2 linked regions of the Drosophila melanogaster genome follow. The gene in region 1 interacts genetically with each later gene. Each region holds a gene or a part of one and is shown on either strand. Other genes may lie near its edges.

Region 1 (6,887 bases):
GCTGCCAGGGTCTAGATGAGGTGAACCGCATGTTCCGGAATTACTGGGATCCCACGGCCTACTGGGTGTGCGATAAGCAGGGCACACGGGCTCGTCTCCAGCGCTGTCCGCAGTCGCAGCTCTACTCCGAGGAACTCGGCCGTTGCGTCCACTATGCCGATTGGGCCTGGACGGATCCCAAGGAGCCGGCTGGCCGAGCCAAGATCAGTCAATCGGTGTCCACAAATTAGTGATATCTTACGGCTAAACTTAATTTAATGCTAGTCTAAGACAACCAACCTCATTAGGCTTACGTCTATTTTTACAAAATACCTTTATTTTTAATGAAAATAAGAAAAAAAATCAGTACAAAATCAAAAGTTGCTCGAGTTTAACAATTTTGGGGCATTGTTTACTATTAACTTAGCTACATGGAATGCACTTCCGGTTGTAAAAAGGAATGGAATGTTTATAGTGCCTAAGCAAAACAGAATTATATGTTAGTCTACAACATATAAAGCGTTGCCCGTCGAGGATCATATGAGCAAGGCCCTCGGCTAGTCTGAATTTAGCTACCTTTCGACTAAAATTAACTGGTTTCGACAGCCTGAGTTGGGGCATGATAAATAAGAAACCTTTGAAAATTCCCCAAAAGTGGTTGAGATGTTGGAGGGAAAAAGATAATAATCCTAATAGGTTTTGACTGCGTGAAGAAACTAATCTCGCGTCCGGGAATATGCCCGATTAACTCAGGAGGAAGCTGATGCGTCTGCGATCTTAAAGCTCCACATTGACGCCTTGCTTGTTGATGACCTTGAGCTTCTCCTTCTTGGGTGGCTGTGTGTCCGAGGGGATATCCTCCTCAACGGGCGCGGGTTTCTCAGGCACTGTGCGCTTGACCTTCGGTTTAGAAGGCTCTGGAGTAGGAGTAGTAGGAGTAGTAGTAGTAGTTGGCTTAGGAGTAGTGGTGGTTGTTGTAGTCGTAGATGGCTTAGCTGTCGGCGGCTTAGTAGTTGTTGGCTTCGGCGTGGTTGTCGTAGTGGTGGTAGTGGTCGTTGGCTTCTTGGTTGTCGTTGTGGTAGTGGGCTTTGGCGTGGTTGTAGTAGTTGTCGTCTTGGTAGTGGGTTTCGGCGTGGTAGTTGTCGTTGTGGTAGTGGGTTTCGGAGTGGTGGTGCTAGGAGCCGCCTTGGGTTTAGGAGTGGCTTTGCTGGGTGGCACACCAATGGACGCCTCCAAGCCCTCGCCCTCGACGCGAACATTGCGCACCTTCAGCGTGGGCTGCTTGGCCTTTGGCGACTTGACACGCGCCAGGTACTGATTGGTGGGGGAGCCCAAGAACAAGAAGTCCTGGAACTCCAGGACGTGTGATACCGTGGCGGCCGACTTGTCGAAGCCATGCAGCGAGCCCACAATGTTGCCGTTCCAGTCCACACGCACGACAGTCGTTCGCTTGGGCGCCAGCACAGTGATGCTCTCCATGTGTCCCACGAAGTGAACGAATCGCTGCGAGAACTTGTTCGGATATACGCTGTTCAAGTAGCGGAAGGGCAGCTCGAACAAAGCCAGCATGCGGGCCAGGAACAGGCGCACGCTGGGGAAGCGAGTGAACAGGGTGAAGCCGTTGGGATGCTCGCTATCCGCGCTCTGGACCAATGGCACCCAGATGCCCTCGGCGTCGGGTGTCAGGTTATCGGGCAAACCGGGCAGTCCGTCGACGAACACCTCGCTCTGACCGGCCTTCGCTCCCTTCAGGTGATACTTTGTCAGACGCATCGCTCCGGTTTCGGCTACCACGATGAAGTCCTCGTTGGGACTGAGGGCCAATCCATTGGCGAAAGCCAGTTCGTCCAGCAGCACCTCGCTAACATTCTTCGAGCGATTGTATTTGAAGAGACTGGAACGTAGAAGAAAGCAAAGGCCGTTAGAGTAACCATAAGACCAGATCGAGAAACCGGTTTGCGTTCGTCTTACAGTCATACTTCTGTAACTTGTCCCTTAATTATAAGAATTAAGCTAACTTCAGTAAGCGTGGACTCTTAATTGAGATTAATTAAGTGACTCCCTCGATTCCTCCGCTACAAACATTTGAAATAATCTTAAATGGGTCACAAAACACGTTTTATAAAGAAATACATTGTAATGGGGTCCCACTGTAGCCCTATTCCGAATAGCTATCACTTTGAATTCTAGCAATATTAGACAGTGTCGCTATAATTTGCGATGAACTCACCGGCCGGAGGGGTTAGCAAAGCTGGCAAAGACGAGGTCTTCGATGGTGAAGTCCGACGAGGAGTCCGTCCAGTAGACGTCGCCCTCTTTGCTCACGGTCACGCCGTTGAAAATCTTGGCAGGGCGGTTGATGGACTTGCCGGCAAGCTCCTGGGCGGGCGAGACCAGCAGAGTCTTCTTATTGGTGCCCAGGTCCACCTGCCACAGGCCGTAGTAGGCGTCGGCGATGATGAGGTTGTTGCCCTGCGTATCAAAGGCCAGTCCCAGCGGACGGCCGCACCGGGACTCCTCGTAGATGTCCTCTGCAAGGGGATTACTATTATAAAATGAAATTCCCTTTATAGGACTCGAAAATACGCACCGCAGGGCTGGCCGATCTTGGTGACATGCGTGACATGGTTGGACGTTAGCTTGATGACCTCACCGCCGTGGATGCCGGTGTAGATCTCGTTGTTGCGGGCTATCAGGCACTCCGGGCCGTAGACCCGCCCCTCCAGCAGTCGCTCCGCTCCCTCCAGGTGAAAGTTCGATTCCAGCGCACCCTTCAGGTCTTTGGGCGGGGTCACACTGTACGAAGTGGCGATTTCTCCAAGGATTAACACGGGAATTACGTCAATTGAAACGGGCGGCACTTACATATAGTCCTTGAAGGGGAAGGTGGTGCGCGGCGGCAGACCGGGCATTAGGATGATGAGGAGGAAGAAAATCATGAAGTTCATGATCCTCACGCGCAGCGCATATAGCAGGCCCATGATTGATTCCTTGTGCGTCCGCCGATCACAAATTACAGCCCAAAAACCCGCTAAATTTAAGCAATAACCCCGAAGAAAGCGACACGACGGCAAAGTTCAACAAGAAAAAAACGTAAAAGTCATCATCCGGACCGGTAGAGGTGGCCGAAATATCGATATGACTATCATTCGTTGATTGAACGTACCACATCTTACACTCTGCTACAAAAATTAATTGTATGCAGTTTCTAAAAACTATGTTATTAGGGATGCAAATTATAACAAGCATAGTTGGTTGAATAACATCATAATTAAAGTACCTGTTAGCCTGGTACCTGATAACTGTTTTAAAAATTCCTTAAAACTATCGCACAATGTTGAATGTGACCATCAGATACCGAAGGCTTTTCGCGCTACCTTGCGACAGTCACACCGCTGCTAGTGTTTTTGTTTTGGGAATTCCAAAACGTCGCAGTTGACGATGAGCGATAATAACAACGCGTTGGCCACCAAGGAAGACGTTTTCGGCATGGAGCACGACCAGGACCACACCAGCAAGCACTACTCGCGGTGCAGCAGTGCGGGCAGCACGCACACTCCGAACTCCTCGGCGCACAATTCAGGTGGGCGAACGCTGGTCAAGATCGGTCACGCTGATCGGTCAAGAGTGCGGGGCGGGGGCAGCTGATAAAGCAGTGGCATTGAATTACTCGCTATCAGCAGCATTTTATTACATTGTACTCATGTTTCGGTTCTGTATCGCAGACGACGACGACGATAGCGGCGATGCGCGCCATTCCGCGGCCGCCAATTCCACGCTGAGTTACAAGGAGCGGAGAAGGGAGGCGCACACCCAGGCGGAGCAGAAGCGGCGCGATGCCATTAAGAAGGGCTACGACAGTCTGCAGGAGCTGGTGCCGCGCTGCCAGCCCAACGACTCCTCCGGCTACAAGCTCAGCAAGGCTCTGATCCTGCAGAAGTCCATCGAATACATTGGCTACCTTAACCAGCAGAAACTCAAGCAGGAGGACGAGGGATCGGCGCTACAAAAGGAGGTAACAGCGTTACGGATCATTAAGAACGGCTATGAGAACATGCTACAGCATCAGCAGGCGAATCCAGGGCCGGAGGAGGCACGACTCACCGATGAGGCCAAGTTTCAAGTGGTAAGTATGGAGCGCTTACCTCTATTATAACCTCTAGAATCGCCACCCACCACCCTCCTCCGTAGTTCCAGGCCATTATGGAGGAAATGTTCGAGACATTTCAACACATACCCATGGAGAACTTTAAGCAGCTGACCACCGGCATTATCCCCTGGCTGGAGGAGCACTGCAAGCCGCACATCCTGCGCAACATACTCAGTCGTACCTTGCAGCAAATGGCGCAGGAGGCTATGGAAAAACAGGAACTTCAGGCCATGGAGCAGGAGTCGAGCGAGGGTTTCAGCTGATCGCGCGGTTAGTTCATATTCTCATTGGTTATTTTAGAAATCCCTGTTTGGTAGATACTTTCGTTACGTTTACTGCGTACAAACATTAAATGCGTCATTTGAATAGTTGTAAAAGCGTTGACAAGGAAAGATAACTTTTTGGCTTAATGATTAAAGATTAGATAAAACTAGATTTGCTAATGCTAGCCGAGAGACTCGACGAGAGCCGCTTTATCCGCACTACCCAGCTGGCCTAGCAGTTCCAGCAGCACATTCCGTGTGTACGGCTTGAAGCGACGAACTCGCTCAGTGACATCCAGCGCGGTGAGCAGCGCTTCAAGGAATCCCTCCAGACGTCCCGCGCTCCACACATGACGTGCTTCGTGCTTTAGTTTCAGCACGCCCGATGTCAGCGTGTAAATCAGTCCCTCGTAGAAGTTCTCCTCCTCCAGATTCGCGGCCAACTTGGCGCTGGCCAGCAGCGCCGCCGGCAGATCGCAGCGGAATTCGTGCGACCGCACAAAGCAGGTGGCCGCCAGTTGGCGGACCTGATCACATTTGTGCCGCAACAAATGCCAACTGAGTCGGCGGAAGCGAATGAGCAGGGGATTTGGCTCTTTCCCGCCCGACGTACGCAAGTGCTCGACCTTGGACAAGAAGGCCAGAAAGAGTATGATGGATGACGTGACCTCCTGGCGATCACAGCACCTCAGCATGTGCTCGCAAGCCTTGGGCAGCAAGCAGCCCAATTCGTCGTAGTCCAGCTCACTGGGTTCCCAGGCGGGTCGTGTGTCAAACTCTGTAGCTTGGCGCTGGCCGACCAGCTTGCCCAGATTGGCGCCAAAGAGTTGAAGTGCCGCATTCGAAATGGTCCATTCGGGGTTGGTGATGTGCTCCATGGCCACCAGCAGAATCTCATTGTAGTACTTGCTCATAGCTGGCCTCAGTTCTGTGTCGCGCACAAGAACGCAAAGGTAATGCAGTACCAATGCCTCCCAGCGATCGTGATTGCTATCGAGACAAACAGTCTCCGCGGTTTGGTTTTCATTTAGCCTCTTAAGAATCTGCTGCACAGCGCGATGGAGCAGCAGCCGCTGTCGTGGATTATCGTTCTTCAGCACGTGAAGGAACATTATGGCGAAGCCGGCACCACGTCGTGTGGTGCTCACTTGACGGCTTTCAGTCAGCAGCTCTCGCTCTAGGCAGTCGTGAAGCATTTGGAATCCCGAATCGCAGCTGTCTAAGCTACTGGTGATGGCACGGGTAAGTCTGCCAATGCTCAAGCCGGCCGCCTCTATGGCTCCTTTGTGCCGGCAAAGCGTCAAAACGGAAACATTAATATTGAGGCAACGACGCAGAGTCTCGGTGTTAACTGTTTTGGCAGACGTTTGCAATTGGTAACACCCAATGCTGGTGGCCAGATCGCAACAGCCCTGCAGAAGGATAAACAAATGATAAGTTTATCAAGAGTTAAGAAATATATCTACGCACCTTCAACGTTAACCAGAAGCTCATCAGTAAGTACTTTCGACAAGCCTCTTCCTCCCCATCACACTTGAAGGAGCTTTCGCTGACCAGCAGCTGGAGACTCTCGTCCATGTCCTGGAAACTGGCTGCTGTGGCTGCCTCTTCCTGTCGCCGGGCGTTGGCCACATTGAGGAACTTGAGAATGCCGCTGAGAATTCTCTCTAGCAATGGCAACAAATCCTCCAGAGGCGTCTCCACTGCCAAGCCAGCCTTGACCACCTCGTCCAAGGCGCAAAGATAGCCAAAGAGATGTCCTCCGCTCTTGGCGGTCTGCAAAGGATCTTCGAAGAAGGGATCTAATTTACCGGTAAGCCTTTTCAGGCACTCATCAAATATCTTTGATCCAGCTTGCTCTTTTGTAACCGCCAACTGTGCGTAGAGGGAAACCAAGGAGCATTGGTCCATATCAGACGTGTGGCACAGTTCGAAGCACCGCTCCACGCACTTTTCACTGTCCACATGGCCCATCTGAATCAACAGGGAGACCGTTAGGTCCAAAGCATCATCGAAACCTTGTGGATTGTTGAGGGTTTCGAAGAGCTGTTGCGCCATTTCCTTTGGACGAAAGACTCCGTGCTCCAGGAGAAATATGCCCATGCGCTGATTCTGCTGAGGACTGCACATTTTTGCATTTTTTGCGACTTCTTCTGCATATAGCGACCTATTTAGGATTTCCAGCAACTTCAGGGCAAAGATCTTGGGTTGATAAACCTCGCTGTGGATGTCCCGCTCAATCAGATGCTGAAGATGTGAAAAGAATCGCTTGATATTCTGAGCCAATGCATGGCCACCCACTCCGATGTCCGCCTTTAGAACCTTTTGAAAGTGCTTGGCCGTGTGATTGATAATCGTTGGCATCTTGCCCAGCATCGTGTTCCGGAACTCTGAGCTTTCCAGACAGCGATGTCGCTCTACAAAGCTGTGAAAGAAATCCAGACAGTCTTCGACGGCAAAGTTTCCCAGATTGTCAACCAGAAAGCGAAAGATCA
Region 2 (8,543 bases), on another chromosome or scaffold:
TGGGCGCATTCAAGTCCTCAGCAGTTCGGTCCGCATCGGCTTTTTTCAATGCGGAATTGTGTATGCATAAAGGCCAACGAGTTGGGGGGCCTTGAGGGGATTTTTTGGCCAGCTTATTGTATTACACCAGGGTCCTGATGCCCGGATGGGTTGCCGAGAAAAGGTAAGCTTGTGTAAGATAATAATTGCTACAGATTTCTGAATTCTAAAGGAAATGTGAGCCCTTGGTTCTGGCAGCAGATGGAATTATTGATGGATTCCATTGACTTTAAACCGAGTTGCGCTACCTGAGCCCATAACTTATGCATGGCAGGGAGCGATGTGTGGATAATTTGAATGGGGTTAAGCCCCATTTGCATATACAAATGCCAATGCGTGGGCTGGGCTTCAATCAGGTTTATGGCTTCGGGTCCGCCTGCACTGGCACCTCTTTGCTTTTCCGCTTTTCTACTCTTCGCTTTCCGTTTTCCGTCTGCGGCTCTTCCTTTAGCGCCCTTGGTGCTCCGGCTGGCCATCATCATTTCTCATTCGAGTACAAGGTGGCCGGAGTAATGACTCTTCCTGCACGGACCGTCATTAAATTGCAGGCCTCCATCGCGTCATAGAGAAGTTCTCGGGACAACCCTTTGGTAAACTTTGCTTGTAATTAAGCCCGCACCCGTTAAACGCATACTTAACACCACCCACCCAGCCTACTATTCAGACCCCAACTGTCCCCACCTTCCGGCCCAGCCACCCATGCCGACGGGGCACTTTCACCCCCTGTCTCTGCTGTAAAAATAAACTGAGTGTGTGCACAACACAAACAGGGAAAGTCCATAAAACACTTAAGATCTAGGAGTACGAGTATGTATACGGCTGATGGTGGAAGGGGGGTGTTGCTGGTTCTGGGCTGGTCAGTTCGCAAATTACAAATCCTGGCCAAAGTCACGTCGCAAGTTGGTCATTAGCCGCCACTTGAGTCCCGAAGCTCCGCCCACGCATCGATTTTATTGCAGCACATAATTCTTGAGGCCGGGGCCATTTGTGCAAATCTCATGTTGATGGCATATTAAGTGACCTCCGGGCCGCTTTTCAAACACCCCAGCCCCCTCACCACCTCGCCACCCAAGCGCGCAATCCACATTTGATGCCCCAGGCGCCTGCCAATTTGCACTTTAAACGGCCGGCGGGTGGGCACAAAGTGACGTCGTTAGATAGACAGAAATGGCGCAAACTTACGTGTAATTAGACGCGTCTGGGCGCGAGGATTAGCAATTAAGCGAATGTCCTGTGAGCGCAACAAGTGCCGCTGAAGGAGAGGTCTTTACAAAAAGGACGAAGTGCCGTTGAAAGAGACACAGGACACGAGTAATCCCAGCTGGGGGCTGGGTGCTTAGGGGACGGGGTTGGGTGGGCAATTGCCGTTCGGGGGCAAAGTGAGAGCAGCGCATAAATCAACATGTCAAATCGCAGCTTACAAAGTGCCGTACAAACACACACACACACACACAGATCCCGCGCTCATTTAAACACACCCACTAAGACAGAGGGAAACTCACTTTTACTCCGCGTGCCGCATTACAGTTTAATGTTTACCATTTTCATCAAATTTGTCGGATAATTCGGTCTGTTATAGCAACTTGGCTAATTGTTCAACACCAACAATGCCACCGCGACAAACATCAGCACACCGATACTGGTACACCATCACCATCACATTCACTAGCACAAACACCACCACAAATAGCACAACACACACCGACGAGCAACAGTTTGCACGGCCAGCCGCTCGGGGCTTTCTGCACTTCCGTTTCCGCTGGCGACTGCCGCTCTCACGAACTTCCGCCCGGTCGAAGCTGCGGCGGCGGCTGCTCGAGCTGAACTGTGGTGCCCACCGATTCTTGGCTGCCTTTTTCCTGGCTCCCGATTCCTGTGAATCCGAAGTGCTGGAAAAGCTCCGACTGTTGAGCTTTTCGCGGCCTTCCATTGGGCTGGAAAATGGAGCCGAGGAAAGCTAGCGAATGCAGTGGATAGCCGTTGCAGGAGATGATTGGGAAATCATCTAGCGGTTTCATCTTATATAAGGCAAGTGGGAAAAATTTAACTTAATTTATTTCTATAATCTTGGCAAATTAACACCATAAATTAGGATTTTGAAAAATATTAAAAGTCTTAGTTATGAAACAAGAGCAAGACTAGTTACAAGTGTCACATTTTATAATTATAACATTTGAAATTTATTTAGCAATCATTTAAAAATCCTAAAACGTATTAAAACTTGTTTATCTATTTAACTGATTGTTTGAAGCGTTAATAAATAAATCATGCAGCTATAAAGCATTTATTAGTATATTAACTATTGTATATATACTGTTTAGAATGTTCACAACATTCAAAAATCCAAGTTTGTGATAAATAAATACTCATATAGGATGTAGGTTATAAAATCGTGTTGTTTTATTTTTTTTTTAATTTTCTCTGTTTGTATGGCCTACTTGCTAATCTTATGGCTGCTTATATAATAAATAGTTTGGAAGTCTTCGGCTTAAGAACTAGAGAAACGACTAAATAAGGTATTGGGGACAGGTATTTAGGACAGGTTAACAAATTGGGTTGGTGATGGGGTCAGTACGGGATAGCACAGTGGGTGAGCAGGTGTGTGGGCAGGTAAAGATGCTGTAGATGGGACTCTCCTCATTGATCCTTCTTACAGGTTGTCTACGCGGGAAGATAGCTCGTCCAGCTGCTGGTAAATGCTGGCCGGAAGATCGGCGCCCACCTGTGACTCGAAGTAGGTGCGAATATCCTTGACCTCCTGCGACCAGAACTCCTTGGGCAGCGAGAAGATCTCCTTCACGTCCACCTTATCCTTCATGCCATCGAGGTTTAGGGCACCCTCGGCGGGAATGTGTCCAATGGCCGAGTCCACGTAGCAGGATTCGCCATTGACCCTGCGCAGGATCCATTCCAGCACACGGGAGTTCTCTCCGTATCCGGGCCACATGAACTTGCCCTCGGCACTCTTGCGGAACCAGTTGACGTGGAAGATCTTTGGCACCTGACCACGCTTCTCCATGCTCAGCCAGTGGGCCACGTAGTCGCCAAAGTTGTAGCCAAAGAAGGGCCTCATGGCGAACGGATCGTGCATGATCACCTTGCCCTTGTGCTCGGCCGCAGCAGTGGCCTCACTCCTCATGGCTGCTCCAATGAAGACTCCGTGGGTCCAGTCCCGAGCCTCATAGATTAGGGGCACTCCGGCGGGACGACGTCCTCCGAAGAGCATGGCGGAGATGGGCACTCCCGCCGGATCTTCCCAGGCTTCATCGATAATCGGGCACTGGGCGGCTGGAGTGCAGAAGCGGGAGTTGGGATGCGCAGCGGGCTTGCCGGAATCCTTGGTCCAGGGTTTGCCCAACCAGTCAGTGATTTGGACATTGGGAGCCAGACTGCTTTCCATGCCCTCCCAGAACACACCGCCATCAGAGGTGGAGGCCACGTTCGTGAAGATGGTGTTCTTGAAAACAGTGTTCATGGCAATGGGATTGGTCTCCATTGAGGTTCCTGGAGCCACACCAAAGAATCCATTCTCTGGGTTGATGGCACGCAGCACTCCCTGCGAGTCAAACTTCATCCACGCAATGTCGTCGCCCACGCATTCCACCTTGTAGTTGGCCAACGAGGGATTCAGCATGGCCAGATTGGTCTTGCCACAGGCCGAGGGAAAGGCGGCAGTGATGTACTTCTTCTCGCCCTTGGGATCGGTGATGCCCAGAATCAACATGTGCTCGGCCAGCCAGCCCTCCTGCTTGGCAATGGTGCTGCCAATCCTCAGGGCGAAGCACTTCTTGCCCAGCAGCGAGTTGCCGCCGTAGCCCGATCCGTAAGACACAATAAGGTTCTCGGCGGGCTTGTGCAGGATGATGGTGCGTTCGGGATCACAAGGCCAGGATGGCTGCTCCACCTGTCCGTTGGCAGGGGCGCCCACAGAGTGTAGGGCGCGGACGAATTCCTCCTTCTTGGCCAGCTGGCGCAAGACAGCGGCTCCCATGCGTGTCATGATCCTCATGGAGGCCACCACGTAAGCAGAGTCCGTCAGTTCGATTCCGATCTTAGAGAGCGGGGAGCCCACAGGACCCATGCTGAAGGGCACCACGTACATGGTGCGACCCTTCATGCAGCCGGGGAATCGCTGCTGCACTGCAGCATCCATGTCGCTGGGCGAGATCCAGTTGCCCAGGGTTCCCTTGACACCCTCCACTGGAGTGGGAATCGTCTCCTCCCGCCGCTCGGTGCAGATGAAAGTGCGCGACTCGACGCGGGCCACATCCGCCGGATTGGTGCGGGCCAGCCAGCAATTGTCGTACTTGGGCAGCGGCACAATGGTGCCAGCCTCCAAGAGGCTCTTGATGAGCACCTTGTTCTCCTGCTCGCTGCCATCGCAGATGTGCACCTGGTCGGGCTGGCAGAGGGCGATGCCCTCCTCCACGAAGGCACGGACACCGGTGGTCAGCAAATCCACATTTCCATAGGAGATGGGAATGCCACGGATGTGGCTGTACAGACCGCAATTGTCCTGGCGCAGCTTGTGCAACTGGGGCAGACCGCAGACATTGCCGGAGCTAAAGAGAAAGAGAGAGATAAAAGGGAAGTGGGTTATTAAAATTGCAATTTAATTAACTGACTTCGATAGTGGGACCCCAAATAATGGACTGCATTAAAAATTAATTGCCATTAAAATCCCCCATTGAATGCGTTTCGAGTGACCTCTTTAATGTATACTTACATAATTTTGCTTTGTTCAATGAGCTCAGGCATTTTGTTTGTGTTGTTTTTTATGAATTTTTCTCGAAAAAAAGTTTGGAATATTTTTATTAGATTTTTCTGCGCGTGAAAGGGTTTTTGGCACTTTGCTTAATTCGCTTATCACAATTTGAGTAATTATCACAATTAGTGTTCTACTGTCGAGGACTTTGCGTTCATATGTTCTTCCACAGTTTTTTGTCAAACATCAACTTGATTTTCAGACCACTGAAAGTAGGCTTTTCACTTGATCTTTCCATTTACTCTGGCCACGAGTAACTGATGCCAACTGCTCCGATCCGGGGCCTTTTATACCCAGCCGGCGACGCCTGGCCATCGAGGCGACTAGAACAAGTCGGCCGATCGCCACGCAAATCGGGTTTTACGATCGCCTCGCCGAGTGAGAGGGTCAAACTCCGGACGAGCTGATTGGCTGCCGGCGGAGGCTCGGCGATTGTTTTGGTTTTTCACAGGCGGCGCAGCTACGATGAGTTGGTTGTGGGTGGGGGGGGGGGGTCTACGGAATGGGGGGCATGGGCATACAGATACGTATATGGGGTATGTCCCCACATGGCAACAGCAGAGTGTTGTTTTCATGTGGCGCTGAGAGCGTTTTCTAGTGCGTTTGCATTGATAAGCGTTTGTTGTTATTTTGAACACCCTGATATTTGCCACTTTCGCGCTGTTAATTTAATTATTCTATTTATGATTTTATGCGATACAAATGTGGCCGCTGCGAATATAGAAACCAGTTCACGGACAGCTGAGGCAACAGCAGTTGTTGTCCCCTGCAGCTGGGTAAATTCTGGATGTGTCTATAGCTGCATTGGCCACAAATATAGCTACATTGGTGCAACATCGAATGGTGGGCCACATCACACGCGCCCGCCCACTTACGCCTGTTTGACCACATGTGTTGGCCTCTCGTTTTTGGACATTTGCCAAATCGAAAAAAACTTTCGCTTATTTGTAGAATCGGTGACGGAAAATTTGTATGCTAATCCGCCCCCCTCGCGGCATCCAGATGAGCCGGGGGCCTCCCCAATTGGCCATGGCCGCCTTGGAGGCCAGTATTCACATTCATGTGACTCTGGGGGCGCACCAAGAATAGCATGGCCCGGATGGTTGTCATGTGGCCACTCTTGTTTTTGTCTTTGGGGAAGGAGAAATGAAGGTGCTGCCGGTGGTGTGACTTTGTACCCCGAATCCAGTTTACCAGAAGACCCAGAATCCTCTGGGTACTCGAAGAAAAAGTTCAACAGAAGCAGTCGGGAAAGTTGCACGTAAATATGGCTCTGTTTTTCATTGGTTGCGTAAACATTTATTTGGTAGCAGTGTTATTTATAATGTTAAATTAAAACGCTTGCCAACTCTAATTTAAAACTTCAAGCTTAATTCAACTTCATAACAAATAGGCCAAATATAATTTTTATTAAAATTGTTTTAAATAATTATAATAAGCCGCTCACTTAGCCTAGACCCAGAAGAGACTGGCGTCCAACGTCCTTGGAGAAACCTGATCAGATGGTTGTCCTTGGTCCTTGGCTCCCCCCTCTTACAGTCCCCGTCCCCATTTTTGACTCCCTTTACGAAAAGTCCAGTTGCGAATTAAATCGAATTCGTCTACACGCGTTGCCGTGATTTTCGATTGGTTTATTTATAACTATGGACTTGTTTTTCTAGTTGGGCCTGATAATCTTCATCATCGGCATTAATTGCTGGACCCAGACTTGGACTTGGACTCAGACTCTAACTGCTTCGCTCCTGTTCTCACCTAACCGCCACTTGGCGCATTTCGATGATTCGGGCTTATTTGGAATTTACGTCAATAGACGATCGATTCGCTAAATATATGCATAATCAATAATGCGATTGGTTGAGAAGAAGGCAATGGGGAGGAGGGAGCCGGGCGGGTTATCAGTGGACGAGCCTCTGAGTTCGTCTAAATATAGATCAGACCCGGATTTGTGCTGTCGACCAGGAAAACTTTCCGAGGGAAAACATCACTATGAGGATCTTTACATTGCCCATGAACTATTTTAAGGGATTCGATTTCTTAGCTATTTTGCCTTTTGGTTTCTTGGCTTATTGGCTTTTTATCGCTGTTCACCCCATAGTGTACATCACACCACACGCTTTGAATTTAGTAATCAGTCCTTGGAAACCCACCGAAAATTGCAAAGGTTCACCCATAAACTTTACTTTCTTTTTGGCTTTTTCTGGCATTTATTTGCTTGTTTTTCATCGCGTGGATCTGTTGATAAGTTAGGTTAAACGGCATTATGGATTTATACGCTTGTTTACGCCAATTGCGGACGGGCCTCCGCCGAGGCGACCACTGATAAGCCCCGTCTAGGCCACGCCCCAAACCCAATTTCGATCCCAATTCCATTCTCGAATGGGCACAAGTCAAATTTCACTATAAAAATCTCGTTCGTTTCGTTTTATTTTAGGCAATAAGGGGTCTTAGATTAGGAAGTAACCTATGGAACACACACATCACATGTCAGCAACACGCGCCTTCAGCTCCCTCAGCTCCTCGGCCACGGCACCTGGCAGATGGTGGCCCACCTGCTCCTCGAAGTACCTCTCTATGGCAGCCACCTCCTGCTCCCAGAAATCTTTTGGCAGATCGAAAAGCTGGTCGAGATCAATGTTTTCCAAACTATCCAAGTTCAATGAATTCTTGCTGGGCAGGCGGCCAATGGGAGAGTCCTCGAAGCACTGCTCGCCCTCCACCCGCCGGAAGATCCAGTCCAGGACTCGTGAGTTCTCCCCGAATCCGGGCCAAAGGAACTTGCCCTCACTGCTCTTTCGGAACCAATTTACGTGAAAGATCTTGGGCACCTGGCCACGCTGCTCCATGCTTAGCCAGTGACCCAGATAGTCGCCGAAGTTGTAGCCGAAAAAGGGTCTCATGGCGAAGGGATCGTGCATGATGACCTTGCCCTTGAACTCAGCGGCTGCCGTGGCCTCGCTCCTCATAGCAGCTCCAATAAATACGCCGTGCTTCCAGTCTCGAGCCTCGTAAACCAAGGGAACTCCACTGGGACGACGACCTCCGAAAAGAATTGCGGAGATGGGCACTCCTTCGCTATCCTCCCAGGCGGGATCAATAATGGGACACTGAGAGGCGGGTGTACAGAACCTGGAGTTGGGATGGGCAGCTGGCTTTCCGGATTCCTGGGACCAGAGTTTACCCAACCAGTCCGTGACAGTCACCCCCTTCAGCTGATCCTTTTCCATTCCCTCCCAGTAGACACCTCCATCGGATGTAGAGGCCACGTTCGTAAAGACAGAGTTTCGGAAGATCGTATCCATGGCTATGGGATTGGTGGCCCTCGACGTTCCGGGCGCCACGCCAAAGAATCCATTCTCCGGATTAATCGCTCGCAGCACACCCTTGTTATCGAACTTCATCCAGGCGATGTCATCGCCCACGCACTCCACTTTGTAGCCAGGCAGGGTAGGAGTCATCATCGCCAGGTTGGTCTTACCGCAAGCTGATGGAAAGGCGGCAGCTATGTAGATCTTCTTACCTTGCGGATTGGTGATGCCCAGTATCAACATGTGCTCGGCCAGCCAGCCCTCTCGTTTGGCAATGGTGCTGCCAATCCTCAGAGCGAGGCACTTCTTGCCCAGCAGGGAGTTACCACCATACCCAGATCCATAAGATACAATCTCATTTTCTGCTGGCTTGTGCAGCACAATAGTGCGTTCGGGATCGCAGGGCCAGGATGGCATTGCCTGGACACCACTTT

The links.
Region 2: of bigmax (region 1) and Pepck1, changing one suppresses a phenotype caused by changing the other (phenotypic suppression), as found in Drosophila melanogaster (one study listed by BioGRID).

The regions. Positions count from the first base shown.
Region 1 is NT_033777.3:27,285,003-27,291,889, reverse strand, and holds bigmax (bigmax), read left to right. Parts: upstream 1-3,363; 5' UTR 3,364-3,420; coding exon 3,421-3,562; intron 3,563-3,704; coding exon 3,705-4,105; intron 4,106-4,170; coding exon 4,171-4,392; 3' UTR 4,393-4,524; downstream 4,525-6,887. Other genes in the region: CG3348 (uncharacterized protein), read left to right, coding at 1-230; Hmu (hemomucin), read right to left, coding at 757-1,873, 2,210-2,510, 2,570-2,775, 2,845-2,960; CG3368 (uncharacterized protein), read right to left, coding at 4,575-5,804, 5,863-6,887.
Region 2 is NT_033778.4:18,533,292-18,541,834, reverse strand, and holds Pepck1 (phosphoenolpyruvate carboxykinase 1), read right to left. Parts: upstream 5,069-8,543; 5' UTR 5,043-5,068; coding exon of another isoform or gene 4,959-5,042; 5' UTR 4,798-4,958; coding exon 4,766-4,797; intron 4,602-4,765; coding exon 2,690-4,601; 3' UTR 2,419-2,689; downstream 1-2,418. Other genes in the region: CG45087 (uncharacterized protein), read right to left, coding at 4,959-5,042; Pepck2 (phosphoenolpyruvate carboxykinase 2), read right to left, coding at 7,282-8,543. UniProt on the Drosophila melanogaster protein: Catalyzes the conversion of oxaloacetate (OAA) to phosphoenolpyruvate (PEP), the rate-limiting step in the metabolic pathway that produces glucose from lactate and other precursors derived from the citric acid cycle.